4 linked regions of the Arabidopsis thaliana genome follow. The protein of the gene in region 1 interacts with the protein of each later gene in a pairwise test. Each region holds a gene or a part of one and is shown in the gene's direction. Other genes may lie near its edges. The genes, in order: JAZ5, MPPBETA, AT4G00870 and AIB.

Region 1 (4,823 bases):
TGGATCTATGCGAATTTAGGAGAGGAGATAGAGATTAATGGTTGTCCATGGGCGGTCACTTTTTCGCAGGCCATATGGTGGGGGTGGAAATGGCGTTACGGTAACATCTTTGGCGAGAACAAGAAGTGTCGGGATCGGGTTCGTTTTATTAAGGATCGTGCGTTGGATGTTTGGAAGGCGCATGTGCACAAAATGGGAGTGACGACGCGGACAGCTAGGGAGGAGAGATTGATTGCGTGGTCTCCGCCAAGGGTGGGTTGGTTTAAGCTCAATACTGATGGTGCTTCGCGTGGTAACCCGAGACTAGCTACAGCAGGTGGAGTAGTTCGAGACGGGGATGGAAATTGGTGTTATGGGTTTTCGTTGAATATTGGAATTTGTTCGGCTCCGCTTGCGGAACTATGGGGAGCATATTACGGTTTAAATATCGCTTGGGAGCGCGGTGTCACACAGTTGGAGATGGAGATTGATTCGGAGATGGTAGTGGGTTTTCTTCGGACAGGGATTGATGATTCGCATCCGCTGTCCTTCCTGGTGCGGTTGTGCCATGGCTTACTTTCAAAGGACTGGTCAGTCCGGATTTCGCATGTGTATAGAGAAGCTAATCGTCTCGCGGATGGGTTAGCTAACTATGCTTTTTTTTTACCGTTAGGTTTTCATTTGTTTAATTCTACTCCGGATATTGTTATGTCGATTGTTCACGATGATGTAGCGGGGTCTGCGTACCCCCGGAACGTTCAAGTGTAATTTTTTTAGTTTTTTCAGTTTTAATAAAAATGGGGGTTCGCCCCCCTCTTCTACAAAAAAAAATATCACTTTCAAAAGGACCCATTCGCTACCCAATTTTTCTAAACCCCAGAACGTTTTTTTTTTTTCCAAAACACAACAGCCACTTGGTCTTTGCAACAATGCAAGTAGTGTAGTGGCGTAGCTAGGGGTAACGAGTTACCAAACCGGTTTGACAATCTGGTTCGATCAATTGGCCGATCACTCGGTTTGCTCTAATCTTGCTTCATTTAGTCCCATCAACAACACTTATTAAACTAAGTCACATCTAAACTTTTTATATCTTTGGTATCATTTTCCCCGAACACGTTTTTTTGAACGAGTCGTAGTTTTGAAGCAACCAACGAACGTATTGATTATTATGGGCATCCGTGAAAGGGGCAGTTCGGTCAATTGATCCATCAATTTTATTTTTGACCAAACTGATTAGGTGATCTTAAGATTTTTCCTTTTTTCTTTCTATAGGAAAGTGGGAAAAACGCGATTCACACGATACTGTTGCTAGTGCGTCGTACAGATTGCGATACGTGTCACAATCTTGACGGTCTGTTCTATTTAAACCACGTGTTTTAATCAAAAAACTTCTGTCGGATCGTATCGGAGACTTTGAATTTTTATGGCACATGAAACTTCGTAGGGGTTTGATGGTAGGATCCCACATTGGTCCACTTACTATTCAATTCGCACCGCCGTTAAGTTTGTTAACTAACGTGAGGAACGTCGCGGTGATGTAAAAAAAGGCCATGAAAGTTGTTTCTATTACGATGATGCCATCACTGGAGTTGGTAATGTGCTCTTGTGGAAGGGCAAATTTTGTAAATACGATCAAATTTCGAGTCTTTTACGAATTTGTGACATACGCCGTTTAATAACGTTTGCCGTCGGTTCTGAAATCTTTATTCTTTTTCTCTTTTATCGTTACGCGTAAGGAAAACGTGCGGTAAATTCTAACCGAAAATATATATAAAAAAGTAGTCCAATTTTGAAATCTGGCCGTTGATGGTAGACAACTAAACTGTGCCAAACAAGAAACAAGAGGTGAACATATTTTTATGATAAGACAGGGCAATAAATTTGTTGTACCAACTCATAAAACAATAGATAAATTACTTGCACAATGATGGATTATTAACATTAATTTTCTTACTATTAATCATGGATGAAAATTCCTTTCTTCACACTAGATATAGTTCTTTAACTAGTTAAAAATGCATGCGATGGAATATTACTAAATATGATATAATCTCATGGCTTTATGTAAGATTTGTTTTTTGGTTTTTTTGGTTGTTGTTAATAAATTTATTATTGAGAAGTTTAATTCTATTTTGGTCACAATATATTGAAATATTTTTAAGAAACTAAAAAGTTCCTATTTATTTTTGTTTTCATTAATTTATGAGAGGCTATTAAAGTCACAGAAACTTATTGGGTGAATGAGTTTATAAACACATGAGCTATTGAGCTAGTAGCCTCTTGTACTCTTCCATTTTACGCGCAATCCACGCACCAACAAAAAGAAAAGAAAAGAAGAGATAAAGAATATCTTTAAAAAGTAAGTGTGGAGAATTCTTTCTTCTCAATAAACAACAACATGTCGTCGAGCAATGAAAATGCTAAGGCACAAGCGCCGGAGAAATCTGACTTTACCCGGAGATGTAGTTTGCTCAGCCGTTACTTGAAGGAGAAGGGTAGTTTCGGAAACATTGATCTTGGCTTATACCGAAAACCCGATTCCAGTCTCGCGTTGCCCGGAAAATTCGATCCACCAGGTACTTTTATTATCTCTTTCTTCTTTCATGGCCGCCACTTGGTAATAGTACTTTAAAAACTCAGTTCTGTTACTACTTGCTTTTGCCAGATTTACTACTTTTGTATTGTTTCTTCATTTGTAAGTCAGTTCCTTACTTCAGAAATAATTTCTCCTTGTAATTATGAAGACAAGTAACAAAAATAACGAATAAGTTGATATAGAAATTGATTGAGATGTGGTTAATAAAATTCCAAAGATATAAGATGCTATATCATTTTTCTAAAGTTATTATAGTTCACGAAAGTTTTTATTCTCTTTATGCAGGGAAACAAAATGCGATGCATAAGGCAGGGCATTCCAAAGGCGAACCCTCTACCTCATCAGGAGGCAAAGTCAAAGATGTTGCTGACCTCAGGTCTCTCCTTTTGTTCCTTGGGAATACTTGTTGTTTTTGGTTATTGGAGATTAGAGAAAAGGATAATCGGTTAATCCGGTTAAAATTGGTTTTGTTCTGAAATCTGTTTTTGGTTTGCAGTGAATCACAGCCAGGAAGTTCGCAGCTGACCATATTCTTCGGAGGGAAAGTTTTAGTATATAATGAGTTCCCCGTAGACAAAGCTAAAGAGATTATGGAAGTAGCAAAACAAGCCAAGCCTGTGACTGAGATTAACATTCAGACACCAATCAATGACGAAAACAACAACAACAAGAGCAGCATGGTTCTTCCTGATCTCAATGAGCCTACTGATAATAATCACCTAACAAAGGAACAACAACAGCAACAAGAACAAAATCAGATCGTGGAACGTATAGCACGTAGAGCTTCCCTCCATCGATTCTTTGCTAAACGGAAAGACAGGTATTTAACCTTATCATACTTTTTGAAACTTGTTTTAATGTTCCAAATTTCCAATCACTCTAGTTAGTTCAAAACTCAAAAGTTTAAGGATCCTCCCTCTGATATAAGTTCTCCTAAATTATCCTCAACAAGCCTCGTAATTTACGTTATTAATTTTTCTGTTGCAGAGCTGTGGCTAGGGCTCCGTACCAAGTTAACCAAAACGCAGGTCATCATCGTTATCCTCCCAAGCCAGAGATTGTAACCGGTCAACCACTAGAGGCAGGACAGTCGTCACAAAGACCGCCGGATAACGCCATTGGTCAAACCATGGCCCATATCAAATCAGACGGTGATAAAGATGATATTATGAAGATTGAAGAAGGCCAAAGTTCGAAAGATCTCGATCTAAGGCTATAGTAATATTTGCTAAATTTCTTGTAGGAACTGAGTTTTTAGATTAACGTTTCGATTTTTCTGACTTATCTAAGTGATTTTATTTTGCTTTGTACTACAGTATGTAATCTTATTCTAACTTGAATATTCATTCATAAACACAATAGACGATAGTAAAGTTATATTATAATTAGTTAACTACGTACAACACTTGGGAGTTAAATTACATAACGTTAAGCGAGAAATAGCAAATTAGACAAGAGGAAGAATATTTAGGAGTTGTGAATTGATCTGACTGCAATAACATGAAGAGGAATCTGACTGCAATCGTAATGCGGGTAAAGATGGTTGAAAGTGATCAGAGCTCCTTTCTAATTTATTTAGGGTGTAATTTATGAAAATGATTATTATTGGAGTGTATATCAAGTTTTCACTAAACTCAGGGGTGTTTATTGTAATTAGTTGTCAGGTTCAAGTTCATTGAAGGCGTGTCTGATTTGGACAGTGATTGGGCCTGAGCCATAAGTTTAACGTGGGACGAGTTCATTGGCTGTTGCTTTTTAAATTTTCTTACAGCCTGTGACTTTAGCTAATCGATGTGTAAAAATAATAAATCCAATAAAATTCGTAAGAGCCACTCGATTGCTTCCTTCGCTTTCTATCAAGAGACTTCCTTTTTTTTTTCCTGTTCTTCATTTTTTTTTTGTTATTAATATTTTGTCATTTTTCTTACATTTTTCTCGAACACCGAAAACACTTTCGAACCCTAAAAGACAGAACACTGTGTCAATTTTCATTACCTGGGAACGAAAAGCAAAATCAAAGACAATAATTTTTTCCCCGAGAGAGAAAATGCAGAGGTTGAAGCAGCAGCAGCAGCAGCAACAAGTTATGATGCAGCAAGCTCTTATGCAGCAACAGTCTCTCTACCATCCTGGTCTCCTTGCCCCGCCACAGGTTTGCTCTATTCTTCTTCCATTTCCATGCTCGATTTGGGTTTCTAGGCTCTTTTTCCCAAGCTCGATTTCACTGGTTTTTCTCTCTTTTTTGTTG
Region 2 (5,673 bases), on another chromosome or scaffold:
AGAATACAACAAAGAATATAATGTGATGAAGATATCTAATCTTTGCTTCTCTTCTCTCAAAGAAATTTCGGTTAAAAGTGAAGCATAAAAGTGAGATTAGTGGCACTAAAGAAGGATGAAATTAGCAATTTAGGGATGAAGAAACCATATCCTATTATCCTTAAATCGGACGAACACAAAAATACGGTTGAAGACATAAGTTTCAATGTCCAAAGCCATCGCCAAAAAGATAAATTTTTGAACATTATGAGCGCAAGTCTTGAGAATGAAATGGTAACAATTCTTAAAAGTAAAGATAAACACTAAAAGCACAATGGCCTCAAAAGTAGAAGAAGAACAAAAAAGAACATTAAGATCTTCAAGGTTCAACTGCAATACGGCCAGCAACCTGGTCCAAATCCCTTTGGCCACTGGAAGTGATCCTTCTTCCTCTGAAAGAAGAACAAAAGTGATACTAGTATTAGCATAAAAACATTTTTAAAGAGAAACACCTCTAACGTAGTAGTAGTAGTAGTAGTAGTAGTAGTAATGTTACCCTTTGGTGTCGAGCTCAACAATGTTCATTGTCTCCAGCTGTTGGAGGATGTGACGGGCAATACCACCACTGCTTTTGCAAAAGTGAGGTGGGCGACTACCGTTCCTCTTGCTTCCACCATAGATTCTACGGAAAGCACCAACACCAAGTCCTCCCCTCAGGTAAACCTTCCTTGCCATAGATGCTGCACAAGAAGTCATTTTGCTAATTGAAAACTTTATAAACGCATAGAGATAATAAGAGACAAACTAGGATGAAAGAGAACTAACCAGCTCTGATGTAGTACCAATCAGGATCATATGGTGCAAGCTCCTTCAACTTTCCGGTCTTCACAATGTCTGTCCATGTGGGAAGCTCGATCTGAAACAAACAATTATGGTCTCGTGAAAACCAAAACAATTGTAAAAAGTGGAGCTTGACATTCAAGCTATTGTAATTGCTAGTGTAAATTAATTCAACAGACGTAACAAAGCAAATCACAATATTAATCCCAAGCATTTGAATCTTAAGCTGTCTATTAACAAATACTAAGAGTAACACTTGTGATTCAATAAATATTAGCAACATATACAAAATTTCAATACATTCAACAGACATTACACAATTCAAAGTATTATAGAGAAATGCCAACAATCAACAGAAATATCTATGAACTAATGGAAATCATTGCAATTTGAGCTTAATCCATCTTTATTCGAGTACATACAAATAAAGCTTGGAACATTTCTACTCAAACAAAAAAGAAGAGACTTTATCCACTAACCTTGCCAGATCGCTTGAGATGAGAAGCATAAGCCTTGACGAAGTCATGAGGCGAGACGTCTTTCACAGTTTTACCAGTTGCCATGGCTCAAGTTATCAAAAGACTAATCACTGATCTTCGTCTGGGATTTTGCCCAACGCAGCTGAATCTCTCTCCGCAAAGACTAGGGTTTTTATTCTCCAATAACAAAACTTATATATACGGCCACGATATTTCGATTAGGGTTTTCTCCCCATATCCGGGTCAAAAAATCCAACCCGTTCTCAGCCCACACTAATGGGCCTAATTCTTCATACGGCCTTACTATCTAACCAGTATGAATAATGTTCTTTGATACGATAATGCGCCTACTACGGCCTTATTATATCAGTTGACTAGTATTATGTCCTAAACGACACCGTTCTTAATTAGTAACATTAAATGACGTCGTTTTATAATCGCTTAACCACTGGCTATTAGTTCGCATCTCAAGTCGTCTCTGCCATTTTTGGCTTTTTAATCAAACCCTAGAGAGATTGAGAGAGCGAAGAGAAGCCATCATCAGCCATGGCGATGAAGAATCTACTGTCCCTAGCTCGCCGATCTCAGAGGCGTTTATTCCTCACTCAAGCCACACGATCTTCCTCTTCGTTTTCAGCTATCGATTCGGTGCCGGCTTCCGCATCTCCGACGGCTCTATCTCCACCGCCGCCGCATCTTATGCCATACGACCACGCGGCTGAGATTATAAAAAATAAGATCAAGAAGCTCGAGAATCCTGATAAGAGGTTCCTTAAATACGCATCTCCACATCCGATCCTCGCTTCCCACAATCACATCTTGTCAGCTCCGGAGACTCGTGTCACTACCTTGCCCAATGGTCTACGAGTCGCTACTGAGTCAAATCTCTCGGCTAAGACCGCCACCGTTGGAGTCTGGATCGACGCTGGATCTCGGTTTGAGTCCGATGAGACCAACGGAACGGCTCATTTTTTGGAGCATATGATATTCAAAGGCACGGATAGGCGTACAGTGAGAGCGTTGGAGGAAGAGATCGAAGATATTGGTGGTCACCTGAACGCGTATACATCGAGGGAACAGACCACTTATTATGCTAAGGTTTTGGATTCCAATGTGAACCAGGCTTTGGATGTCTTGGCTGATATCCTACAGAATTCTAAGTTCGAGGAACAGAGAATTAACCGCGAACGAGATGTCATCCTCAGGGAAATGCAAGAGGTATGTATTTGTTATCTCTGTACTTAAAAAACTAAACTTTTTGTTCTGTCCTCGATTTATCTTTCGTTTTTTTTTAGTGAGGTGGTACTATGGACCGTAGTTTGTGTTTTTTTAGATCAATACCCTTAGTTTCAGTTTCCCGTGTGCCTGCCTAAAAATGAAAACTTTAGTATGTTCTTAAGTTATCTTCCCTTTTTTTAAGGTTGTATTGGCATAAGCACATGTTCTATAGAGAGATGTTATTGTGTTTATATAAACCATTGCTCTAAAAATGAAAACTTTGTTCTGTTTTTGGATTATCTCTCGCATGTTTTGGTTTTATTGGCTTAGTCATATGTTGGTCGTATTGTTGTTGGGAAATGTGCATGAAGGGAGATACTAGAGCGCTTGGTACTCTGCTCTACGTGTTGGTTAGAGTTATTTGTTTCTTTAATCAGTTAAAGATAGAATACACATTAAGCTTTAGTTTTTTGATAATTGGTTTGGTCGTAGGTGGAGGGACAAACCGATGAAGTGGTTCTTGACCATTTACATGCCACTGCATTCCAATACACACCCCTTGGAAGAACTATTTTGGGACCTGCTCAGAACGTCAAATCGATCACCAGAGAGGATCTACAGAACTACATTAAGACTCACTACACTGCTTCCAGGATGGTATAGATTTTGGTTACTTCTTATCATTTCCTACAATCACTTATTGAATTTTTTAGGATTCTTATCTTGGTTCATCCAAAACATTTTCAGGTGATTGCTGCTGCAGGAGCTGTTAAGCATGAGGAAGTTGTTGAGCAAGTGAAGAAGCTATTTACCAAGTTGTCGTCTGATCCAACAACTACTTCTCAACTGGTTGCCAATGAACCTGCTAGTTTTACTGGTTCTGAGGTAAGGACACAACCATATGATTTTGTTATATGCAATGTTCCATCTTTCTAAATTCTTTAGTCCGTGAAATTCTTCTCAGGTCCGAATGATTGATGACGACCTACCCCTTGCACAATTTGCTGTTGCCTTTGAGGGAGCATCTTGGACTGATCCAGATTCCGTTGCTCTTATGGTTATGCAAACTATGTTGGGTTCGTGGAACAAAAATGTTGGTGGTGGAAAACACGTGGGGTGAGTTTACTCTCTGGCTAATATTTCTAATGATGGATTTAATGAAAAGCTATTTCGCAATGTGTTGATGAACATTATGGTTCTATGTGCAGTTCTGACCTGACCCAGAGGGTTGCCATTAATGAAATAGCAGAAAGCATAATGGCATTCAACACTAACTACAAGGATACTGGACTGTTCGGCGTTTATGCAGTTGCCAAGGTCAACCCAGAACTCCATAGCTATCTTAGTTTCATCTCTTTCTTGTATTTGTCAATATTAGCAGTTTCATCTCATGAATGCCTCGTATTATATCTCTTTTAACATCTTGTAAGGTACTTTTTTCAGGCCGATTGCTTGGATGATTTATCATATGCCATTATGTATGAGGTAACCAAGCTGGCCTACCGAGTTTCAGACGCTGATGTGACACGTGCACGAAATCAGGTAAACGCCCAACTGTTCTTTCTCTCTTTCCCAAGATTCAGCTTTAAGCTAGTTACAAATGTGATCTGTTTAAAGTTTTTTTTTTCTTTTCCTCCTGTTTCTTCGAACTCCTTACTTATTTGTAGATAGATTTTAAATGCCAACTGATTTTAAATTTCTCTGCAGCTGAAATCATCATTGTTACTTCACATGGATGGAACCAGCCCAATTGCTGAAGATATTGGTCGTCAGGTATGCGATGAATCATTTAAGCATCTTAATTTAGAACTTATAAGTTTATAAATGCATTGGTCAAAGATAACAAACCTTGACTTTCCTTATAGTTGGTGTTTATCTTCAAAATCATTCTAATAAAACGCCTGGATTTTTGTTCTAAATGCAGCTGCTGACCTATGGGCGTAGAATCCCAACCGCTGAACTCTTTGCTAGGATCGATGCTGTTGATGCCAGCACGGTAAAACGTGTTGCCAACAAATATATCTATGACAAAGTAAGTTCTATTTCTCTCTCCCTCTTGCTCTCTCTATCCTCCAAGGATTAGACTGCTAAACAAGAGTACAAACGTCAAGAGTGATTAAGGTGATTTTTGGGATTATGTGCAGGACATTGCAATCTCAGCTATTGGTCCAATCCAAGATTTGCCAGACTACAACAAATTCAGACGCAGAACCTACTGGAACCGGTACTAAGGCTCTGAAATAAAGGTCACTGAATCGCAAGGTTCGCCCACGGGGAGATTCCGTAGGCGGAGAGAGCAGAACGAGGTGATGATGGATTCATTATTTTTGAGTTTTTCTTACTGTATCTTCATAATTTACCATCATCGCTGGTAAAATAAGTGTACCATTTACTCTTTGTCCTCTACTGGAAAAATGCTAGAGATCCTCTGTGTGTGTTTTTTTTGTTCTCTTCATAATTTTCCCATACACATACTAATAAGTTCTTTGATGTTTGGTTGAAAACTTGAATTGGATACATTTCATTTCTTCTTGTGAAACTCTATCAATTCACTTGTGATTTGATCCAGTTGACAAATTTATTAAGATTCTCACAAGATATTCCATCTTTTGCAACACTTTTCATCACAATCTCTTTAACCTTCATAGCTCGTTCTTCATACTCTCCACCGTCTCTCATGATCTCATCGATCTTCTTCTTAACCTCTAACCTCGGAACCACTCCTCGTGCGTCTCTTTCAAGTCCTAATCCAATCTTCCACACATCGCATATATATGCTTTGTTGATAAATTGGTCTGCAAAATAAGGGATGCATAGAAATGGTATGCCATTTTGGGCTCCTTCCAGAGTTGAATTCCATCCACAATGGCTCACAAAACACCCAATGGCTCCAGAAGAAAGGACCTCCCGTTGTGGAGCCCATCTCACCACTTTGACTCGATCCGACCCAAGTTTGATTGGTTGTTGATCACCAGTGACCCACAAAACTGGCCTGGTGAATGGATCAACATAACTTATTACATAATAGACACGCATAGAGTAAGTAGGGTAAACCGGAACACACAAACCCGGTTATGTCCAAATCATTACCTCTTGGTAAGCTCTAGACCAATTGCTAGCTCTTCTAACTGAGGGTTGCCCATGACCCCAAAACTCC
Region 3 (4,069 bases), on another chromosome or scaffold:
GGCTTTTGACCATTTGTATGGCCAGAATAACAACACTCACTACCAAATACAATAACGTGATTTTGTTTAATAGATTAGATGCGGTAGGAATATATTATTCTTCGTGAACTAAAACCATGTTTTATAACGACAAAAAAAAACCCATGTTTTATAAGTTTATGGGCCAAAATTGGGCTTTTGTATTATAAACATGTTTACGGAAGTATTCAGCTAAGTATATATAAAAAAAAACAATTACACTAATTTATTTAAATTTTATTATTACCTACTTACAATTAGTAAAATTTAAAATTAACAAAAAAAAAACTTTTACTTACTTTTAGTTATTGTTTTAAGAAAAAACATCATTAATTACCCTACTTTTTTTTTTAATACTAGGAGGTTCTAAGCCAAAACATCTTAATTATTATATTGTTTATATGTCTAATAATATCCATAAATGTATTAAAAAAACTTAAAACATAAACTAAAGGGTAATAGATCATAATATTATTGAATGGAGTAAGAAAATGTATAAATTATAATTCAAAAAGAGAACTATAATCTGCTTTTCTACCCAAATGAAGTAAAATAAGACATCAATTTGCATTTCAATGGTCAGTTTTAAAGGTAAAATTAAAGACGTTAAACACGTGTAATGTAAAAGAGATCACTCATGAGTCATGACCAACCATATTCTTAGTTTATATAAGTAATTCACACCCCTTAAAAAGAAATATAGTCTATAATCAATCATACTTAGCATGAAAACGATGATCAAGTTTCTGCTGTTAATACTGGTGATCTCTCCTATGTCGATATGCGCCGAGAAGGACATGATGATAAATGAATGCCACAATGCAGACGTCCCAGCCATATGCATGCAATGTCTTGAATCCGACCCAAACTCCATTCACGCCGACCATATAGGCATAGCTGGCATCGTCATAAACTGTCTTGAATCCCACCTCCATATCATCACCAAGCAAGTTTTCACTTACAAATTATAACCAATATACAGAAATATCCTCTAATATATCAATTTTTTCATTTGTGTAGTAACATAACGAATTTATCGTCAAAGAAAGATAAAGGTGAAGTGAAAACAGCTCTGGAGATTTGCAAAAAAGACTTGTCGACGAATGCATCTACAATACTGTCGGAAGCCAAAACAAGTTTGAAAACCGGTGATTATGATAAAACCAACAAATCGATAAAGCTTGCGCTTGGCTTTCCTCTGAGATGTATGTTCAATCTCAAACGTGTCAAGTTCACGTCTCCCCAACTATTTAGTCAAATCAATATCTATGCTCAACTCTCTGACGCTGCTATGAGGATCATTGATCGCTTCTAATAAGTAATAACTCCTTATTGTTTTCTATATAACTCAACTTCGATCAATGCTTACCCCAATTTGAATAAATCATTTCCTTTATGAAATTTATAAAGTCACATATATCCATTTGTTGTAGCTCTCATGTTTTTTTTTTCTTTTCAAATTTGTCAAAATAAGTTTTCGTTTGAACCATCATTCAATATAAATCTAAATGATATATTGTCTTTTTTTTTTTTTTTTTTTTGGCAAAGAATGATATATTGTCTATTTCATCAAAGTTGGACCACTATACGATAAATTGTTGTTCTTATAACGTTAAAGTAGGAAAACAGTTCAGTTTTCACGTGACTAACTTACTACTATTGGAATATTTATCATAAACTTTAATTCACGAAAATCATTAATGAAAATTTGATATTACTACTATAATATCGTCTTCTCTATTAATTTAGAATCTTATTCATCCTTTTCCACTTGTCTTCTCTAACCCTCTAAATTCTCTTTGGTCGGGATCACTGGAAAGAAATGTATAATCTCACTTTCTCTCCATCATTGTCCTCTTCTTTGCTCTCTTTTACACAACAAACTCCTGCAGCCATAGTGTCCTCTTCTCCTCCGGATTTAGTACTTCAACAAAAACTCCGGTTTGTCGTGGAAACCTCACCGGACCGATGGGCTTATGTCATTTTTTGGCAAAAGATGTTTGATGATCAATCGGACCGGTCTTACTTGGTTTGGGTTGATGGTCATTTCTGTGGAAACAAGAACAACAATTCCCAAGAAAATGTTCATTTTTCTTTGCCTCTTATGTTATCTAATCAAAATATCCAAAATTTATTTAAATCAACTTCTTAAAAAAGTTCTATTAAGAAAATAATATAATTTTCCTTACCCTTGATTTTTTGTTTTTGTTTCTTTCTTAAGTATACAACAAACAGCATCGAGTGTGAGCTGATGATGGACGGTGGAGATGATCTGGAGTTGTTCTATGCCGCATCGTTTTACGGTGAAGATAGATCGCCGAGAAAGGAAGTATCCGATGAATCTTTGGTTTGGTTAACCGGTCCCGACGAGCTCCGGTTTAGCAACTACGAGAGGGCTAAAGAAGCCGGTTTTCACGGGGTACACACATTGGTCTCCATACCCATCAACAATGGCATTATCGAACTTGGTTCGTCTGAATCAATTATACAAAACCGGAACTTTATAAACCGAGTCAAGTCCATATTCGGGTCGGGTAAAACAACAAAACACACTAACCAAACCGGTTCTTACCCTAAACCGGCGGTATCAGATCATTCGAAAAGCGGAAATCAGCAATTCGGGTCGGAAAGAAAACGGAGGAGGAAACTTGAGACGACAAGGGTAGCTGCGGCGACGAAAGAGAAACATCATCCGGCGGTTTTGTCCCACGTGGAAGCGGAGAAGCAACGGAGAGAGAAGCTAAACCACCGGTTTTACGCTCTACGTGCCATCGTACCAAAAGTGTCACGAATGGACAAAGCGTCACTTTTATCCGACGCAGTTTCGTACATAGAAAGTCTTAAATCCAAAATCGATGATCTCGAAACTGAGATCAAGAAAATGAAGATGACGGAGACAGATAAATTAGACAACAGCAGCAGCAATACGTCTCCGTCTTCCGTTGAGTACCAAGTTAACCAGAAACCTTCAAAATCAAACAGAGGCTCTGACTTGGAAGTGCAAGTGAAGATCGTCGGAGAAGAAGCCATAATTAGGGTTCAGACAGAGAATGTGAACCATCCTACGTCGGCATTGATGAGTGCGTTAATGGAAATGGATTGTCGTGTACAACACGCGAACGCGTCGCGCTTGAGTCAGGTTATGGTTCAAGATGTTGTTGTTTTGGTTCCAGAAGGATTAAGATCGGAAGATAGGCTTAGGACCACACTTGTCCGAACCCTAAGCCTATAACAATTTCTTTGTTTTGTGACGTCAACATAGGATGTGATAATAATTTTTGTTTTTTTTTGCGACCTTTTGTTTTATTTGATAAGTACTAGAAAAATCAAATTCCTTCTAGCGATTAATGTTGTTTTATCAAAAGTTTGATCTCGTTGATACGTAGTTTATGTGTTACTTTTTTACTTTATTTCTCGTACGTACGTACTAGCTCGCTAAAAGCGCAAAGTGTTTGGTATATTGTCTTACTAAAACAATATAGAGACTGTATATTTTAAAAGAAACAACTCATTAATTGATCATTTGGAAATATTAGTTTGAAAACCATAGAGAAGACGGAGGAATTATAGACACACACACGCTTGTCCTATAATATTTAGGACCACTCTTCAGTGATAGCTTGCTAACAAATCAAGTCAATTACGTAATGAACTACCAATGCTTTATATTAATTATTCTTGGACGTACTGTTATATTAAGACACTGATTGGTTAATTTGGGGAAAAAATATTAGTACAATGCACAGAAAAATAAAGGGTACAATAATGTTGAGAAAAAAAAGTGGTACAATAATGCAAAGAGAAGAAAAGGGTACAATAATGCAATTGAATTGTATCTTTCTTATTTTGTTTGCTAATTACTAATTGCAAAAAATGTTTTTGTGCTTGAAAAAGTAATCATTCTGTATCTAACATTCACATATAAAACAGAACTAAACAATTTTGCATTTACTTAATGAGACAAAAATGTTTTGTTTTATTTGATGATCATGGTTTTATGTTTTTCTAAAAGAAATTAAAATATGTTATGCAACAAACTATCATGTGTCTA
Region 4 (4,546 bases), on another chromosome or scaffold:
TTTTTATTCTCGTTGCATAATCTCACTAATGTATATATAACACTCGTTTGAATTTTGTTAAAACTATTTTGTTTTATTTTATATAAAATTACCGAAATTCAATCTACAAATTCAAATTTAAATTAGGTTCTCTACATATCTTAAAAAGATAAATAAGTGAAATTCATAATGATAAAGCCAATTTTGTTTTGTAACTATTATTAGCTTCTTTTTTCTTTTTTTTGAAGCAATGTATCTAATCTATTCTCTTCTAACGAAAGAGTATTAATTATTATAGACAAAAAAAAATAGTATTAAACAAGCCTACGCAAAACACGTTCAGTATTAGGTTATAGTTTTTAGTACTAATTAAAATATGAGATATGAGTTTTTTTGTTCTATTAGAACTTAAGAAGATAAAGAATTTATAAGTTGGTGCGACTCCGAATTACTCAAAAGACACCAATCATCGCGTTATCATCCTAATCTACAAAACAAGAGGTCAAATTTTGCATGTCACGTCACAATATTGTACATTATCATCACGTTTTTTTACAAAGCTTTAGTATATCAACGTATACATTTCAATGTACGAGTTTTCATTGTACTATCTATCCCTAAGTTTGAATTAGGTTTATCGAATCTCTTTCTTTATTTATATGCAAATTTTAATGATGTCATTTTAAATTATTATAAGAAAATATCCCCATACAAAACATGGTGAGGCTTATCTCATGCGATAATACTTTAAAATAGGTTATGAATATAATCATGTAATTATAAAAAAAGTTTTTAATTAATGGGGAGAAAACAATTAGAAAACTACAAACACATGATGATAGAAAAGTAGGTTAAAAGTCCATCACATGGTGCTCTCTCACAGAACGAGACCCTTTTTGTTGAACGTTACTGTTGGGCATGAGATTCACGCAAATCCTATGCGACAAATAATTTTCTTTCCATAAAAATCTAAATAAAGAAAGAACGTACCATTTTTTATATCGAAGTTAAGGACTATATATATACTATTGATAAGAATAATATACTCAGACTATACTATTAATTAAATGGACCCACGTTAATAACGATGTCTGAAATAACCAAAACCCCACCAGACAATTCAGACAATATTTCTTTGTTTCTTTATGCATGTGAGTTATTTTTATTGGTAGAGAAAAAAATAAAAACAAATAATTAATTTAGTACTATTTAGTACATAATAAATTTTAAAATATTTCGACCATGTGATCTATACTTCTTAAGTACATTACTATAATTTGAATCTCTCACGTAGGTACATACACACGTGTGTACACAAAACACTATTTTCTCTAAAATTTACCAAGTGCAAATATCGTTGTTTCACTAAAATCACCATCAAGTATGTATTACTTTTACGAAATTAATCGGATTTGGAGACAAATTCAAAGACTAGCCAGATTTAGGGGTGAGATAATCCATTTGCAAAATAGATTTGAAAAGAGATTTTAGATTTTCTATCTTTATTCGGAGAGAAACAATCAAAGTAAGTGAACTTAAAATCAGGAAACAGAGTTAATAATCAGAGTAATTATTAACCATGGTTAAGTTGAATAACCAAAGTAATTAACGTGCATAAGTAACCATGGTTGGGTTTTTAAAAAGAGCTTTCATACAAACTTCAATTACCCCAGCAAGTCTTGTCTCCTTCTCTCTCTCTCTCCCTCTCTAACTGTATCTTCTTCTTCTTCTTCAACCTTCAGACTTTTCTAGTTGCAACTCTCATTCAATTGTTCAATTTCTCTGTAAAAATCAAAGCTTTTTGGAATCTTTCTTCGGCGAGATATTTCTTCACCGGCGCAAGCTTCTCTTGAGCGTGATTCATCACTGGGTTTGCATTTTTTCCTGGTGGGTATTCTTCAAATTGTTCAAAGCTCCGACCTTTTCTTCCTTAGAATCTGATTACTGGAATCTTGAAGCTGGAGAGACTCGAGTTTATATGGTTTCAAGCATCGTTGAGTCAATCATTGAGTTGTGTAGAAGAAAGGTTTGGTTTTCTTCTCCGTTTAAGTGGTTTTGGGTTTGGTAGGATTTGGTGTAATCTGGGAGATAAAGAAAGATGAATATGAGTGATTTAGGTTGGGATGATGAAGATAAATCGGTGGTTAGTGCTGTTTTAGGGCATTTAGCTTCTGATTTTCTTCGAGCAAACTCTAATTCGAATCAGAATCTCTTTCTTGTTATGGGAACTGATGATACTCTGAATAAGAAGCTCTCTAGTCTCGTTGATTGGCCAAACTCGGAGAATTTCAGCTGGAACTACGCTATTTTCTGGCAACAAACCATGTCTAGATCCGGACAACAAGTCTTAGGTTGGGGAGATGGGTGTTGTCGAGAGCCTAATGAGGAAGAGGAATCAAAAGTTGTTAGGTCTTATAATTTTAACAACATGGGGGCAGAGGAAGAGACATGGCAAGATATGAGGAAGAGAGTGTTGCAGAAGCTTCATAGGTTGTTTGGTGGATCTGATGAAGACAATTATGCTTTGAGCTTAGAGAAAGTTACTGCTACTGAGATTTTCTTCTTAGCTTCCATGTATTTCTTCTTCAATCACGGTGAAGGCGGTCCTGGGAGGTGTTATTCTTCAGGGAAACATGTGTGGCTCTCTGATGCAGTTAACTCTGAGTCTGACTATTGTTTCAGGTCTTTTATGGCGAAATCTGCGGGAATCAGAACGATCGTTATGGTTCCTACTGATGCTGGTGTTCTTGAGCTTGGTTCTGTTTGGTCTTTGCCTGAAAACATTGGCTTGGTTAAGTCTGTTCAAGCTTTGTTCATGAGGAGAGTTACGCAACCAGTAATGGTGACTTCAAACACTAACATGACTGGAGGGATTCACAAGCTTTTCGGGCAGGATTTGAGTGGAGCTCACGCGTATCCTAAGAAGCTCGAAGTGAGAAGAAACTTGGATGAGAGATTCACTCCTCAAAGTTGGGAAGGCTATAATAACAATAAAGGTCCAACATTTGGTTACACACCTCAGAGGGATGATGTGAAAGTGCTAGAGAATGTGAATATGGTTGTAGATAATAACAATTACAAGACGCAGATTGAGTTTGCGGGATCATCAGTTGCTGCTTCTTCGAATCCATCTACAAACACTCAGCAAGAAAAATCAGAATCTTGTACAGAGAAAAGACCAGTGAGCTTGTTAGCAGGAGCAGGAATAGTTTCTGTTGTTGATGAGAAGAGACCGAGAAAGAGAGGGAGAAAGCCTGCAAACGGAAGAGAAGAGCCATTGAACCATGTGGAAGCTGAGAGGCAGAGACGCGAGAAGCTTAACCAAAGATTCTACGCTTTACGATCAGTTGTTCCAAACATTTCTAAAATGGACAAGGCTTCTCTACTTGGAGACGCAATTTCTTACATCAAAGAGCTTCAAGAGAAAGTCAAGATAATGGAAGATGAAAGAGTAGGAACAGATAAGAGCTTATCAGAATCAAACACAATAACAGTAGAAGAAAGTCCAGAAGTTGACATTCAAGCTATGAATGAAGAGGTTGTTGTAAGAGTAATCTCGCCTTTGGATTCACATCCAGCTTCAAGAATCATACAAGCAATGAGAAACTCAAATGTTAGTCTAATGGAGGCTAAGTTATCATTAGCTGAAGACACAATGTTTCACACTTTTGTGATAAAGTCTAACAACGGGTCGGATCCATTGACGAAAGAGAAGCTTATAGCAGCGTTTTACCCCGAGACCAGCTCGACGCAACCGCCATTGCCTTCTTCTAGTTCACAGGTCTCTGGTGATATATAAGTTTCACATGATGGTGAAGCTTTTGTCTATTCTTGTTTCAGTATAGATAACTTTCAGGTTCAACTAGAAATAGATAAAATCCTTTTTTCTTTTCTCTTTCTTATAGTGAAAGGAATCCGGTTTAAGTATATTCATTAACTTTATTTAGACCATTGATTCACATATTTGTATCTTGGGAAAATATTTCCTATACTTTAGAAAATCAAATAAAGTATGAAAGATATTTGACTTCTCTTTCTTTGTTATGGATGCTTTATTCAGTTACAATTTGGGATCCATTCTTTTTTTTTTTCAAATAAAGCAATAGTTATAACAAGTTAATATTATCCAATCAATGTTATTCAGGTAAATATTTGATTAATTATCTTGTAGAATGTTCATGTACATTTGAATTTTGAAGTGACCAAATCTTATATATTGGTCATGAATATGATATATTGACATTTCAAGAGACTGAGCTAAAAATTACTTAAAAATGAGAATCAATTATTTTTTTTCCATTGGTCCATTATTTTATGCAATGCAGCACATAATAATCTATTTTGGTTTTGGTTTGGGCTTCTGGTAGTTCTGAAAAGCCCAGTATAAAGCCCAACTCCATTAATGCATCTTCACCTCTACGACGAGAATTGTGCTTCCGATTCATTTCACATAGGGTTTGTTTCTCCGATCAGATCCAATTTCAATCCTTCTCCGTCAGATTATCTCCTCGGCCACGATGTCTCTCCGCCGCACTATCCTCGATCTCCACCGTCAAACCCAGAGAGC

Evidence for each region.
Region 2: the proteins of JAZ5 (region 1) and MPPBETA interact in binary tests that used the Arabidopsis thaliana proteins (3 or more experiments, as listed by UniProt).
Region 3: the proteins of JAZ5 (region 1) and AT4G00870 interact in a two-hybrid assay, tested with the Arabidopsis thaliana proteins (one study listed by BioGRID).
Region 4: the proteins of JAZ5 (region 1) and AIB interact in a two-hybrid assay, tested with the Arabidopsis thaliana proteins (one study listed by BioGRID).

The regions. Positions count from the first base shown.
Region 1 is NC_003070.9:5,954,625-5,959,447, reverse strand, and holds JAZ5 (jasmonate-zim-domain protein 5), read left to right. Parts: upstream 1-1,936; 5' UTR 1,937-2,377; coding exon 2,378-2,555; exon of another isoform or gene 2,556-2,769; coding exon of another isoform or gene 2,770-2,860; coding exon 2,861-2,951; intron 2,952-3,071; coding exon 3,072-3,395; coding exon of another isoform or gene 3,396-3,462; exon of another isoform or gene 3,463-3,562; coding exon 3,563-3,794; 3' UTR 3,795-4,293; downstream 4,294-4,823. Other genes in the region: UBP1B (oligouridylate binding protein 1B), read left to right, coding at 4,623-4,727. UniProt on the Arabidopsis thaliana protein: Repressor of jasmonate responses.
Region 2 is NC_003074.8:363,780-369,452, forward strand, and holds MPPBETA (Insulinase (Peptidase family M16) protein), read left to right. Parts: upstream 1-1,769; 5' UTR 1,770-1,844; coding exon 1,845-2,516; intron 2,517-3,008; coding exon 3,009-3,173; intron 3,174-3,263; coding exon 3,264-3,401; intron 3,402-3,480; coding exon 3,481-3,632; intron 3,633-3,724; coding exon 3,725-3,833; intron 3,834-3,959; coding exon 3,960-4,058; intron 4,059-4,223; coding exon 4,224-4,289; intron 4,290-4,440; coding exon 4,441-4,552; intron 4,553-4,660; coding exon 4,661-4,755; 3' UTR 4,756-5,060; downstream 5,061-5,673. Other genes in the region: AT3G02080 (Ribosomal protein S19e family protein), read right to left, coding at 359-431, 536-719, 805-895, 1,299-1,382; AT3G02100 (UDP-Glycosyltransferase superfamily protein), read right to left, coding at 5,061-5,508, 5,607-5,673. UniProt on the Arabidopsis thaliana protein: Catalytic subunit of the essential mitochondrial processing protease (MPP), which cleaves the mitochondrial sequence off newly imported precursors proteins. Preferentially, cleaves after an arginine at position P2.
Region 3 is NC_003075.7:361,411-365,479, reverse strand, and holds AT4G00870 (basic helix-loop-helix (bHLH) DNA-binding superfamily protein), read left to right. Parts: upstream 1-1,770; 5' UTR 1,771-1,840; coding exon 1,841-2,101; intron 2,102-2,239; coding exon 2,240-3,250; 3' UTR 3,251-3,547; downstream 3,548-4,069. Other genes in the region: AT4G00872 (Plant invertase/pectin methylesterase inhibitor superfamily protein), read left to right, coding at 744-964, 1,039-1,333.
Region 4 is NC_003071.7:19,090,419-19,094,964, reverse strand, and holds AIB (ABA-inducible BHLH-type transcription factor), read left to right. Parts: upstream 1-1,591; 5' UTR 1,592-2,077; coding exon 2,078-3,778; 3' UTR 3,779-4,012; downstream 4,013-4,546. Other genes in the region: SDH4 (succinate dehydrogenase subunit 4), read left to right, coding at 4,497-4,546. UniProt on the Arabidopsis thaliana protein: Transcription activator. Positively regulates abscisic acid (ABA) response. Confers drought tolerance and sensitivity to ABA.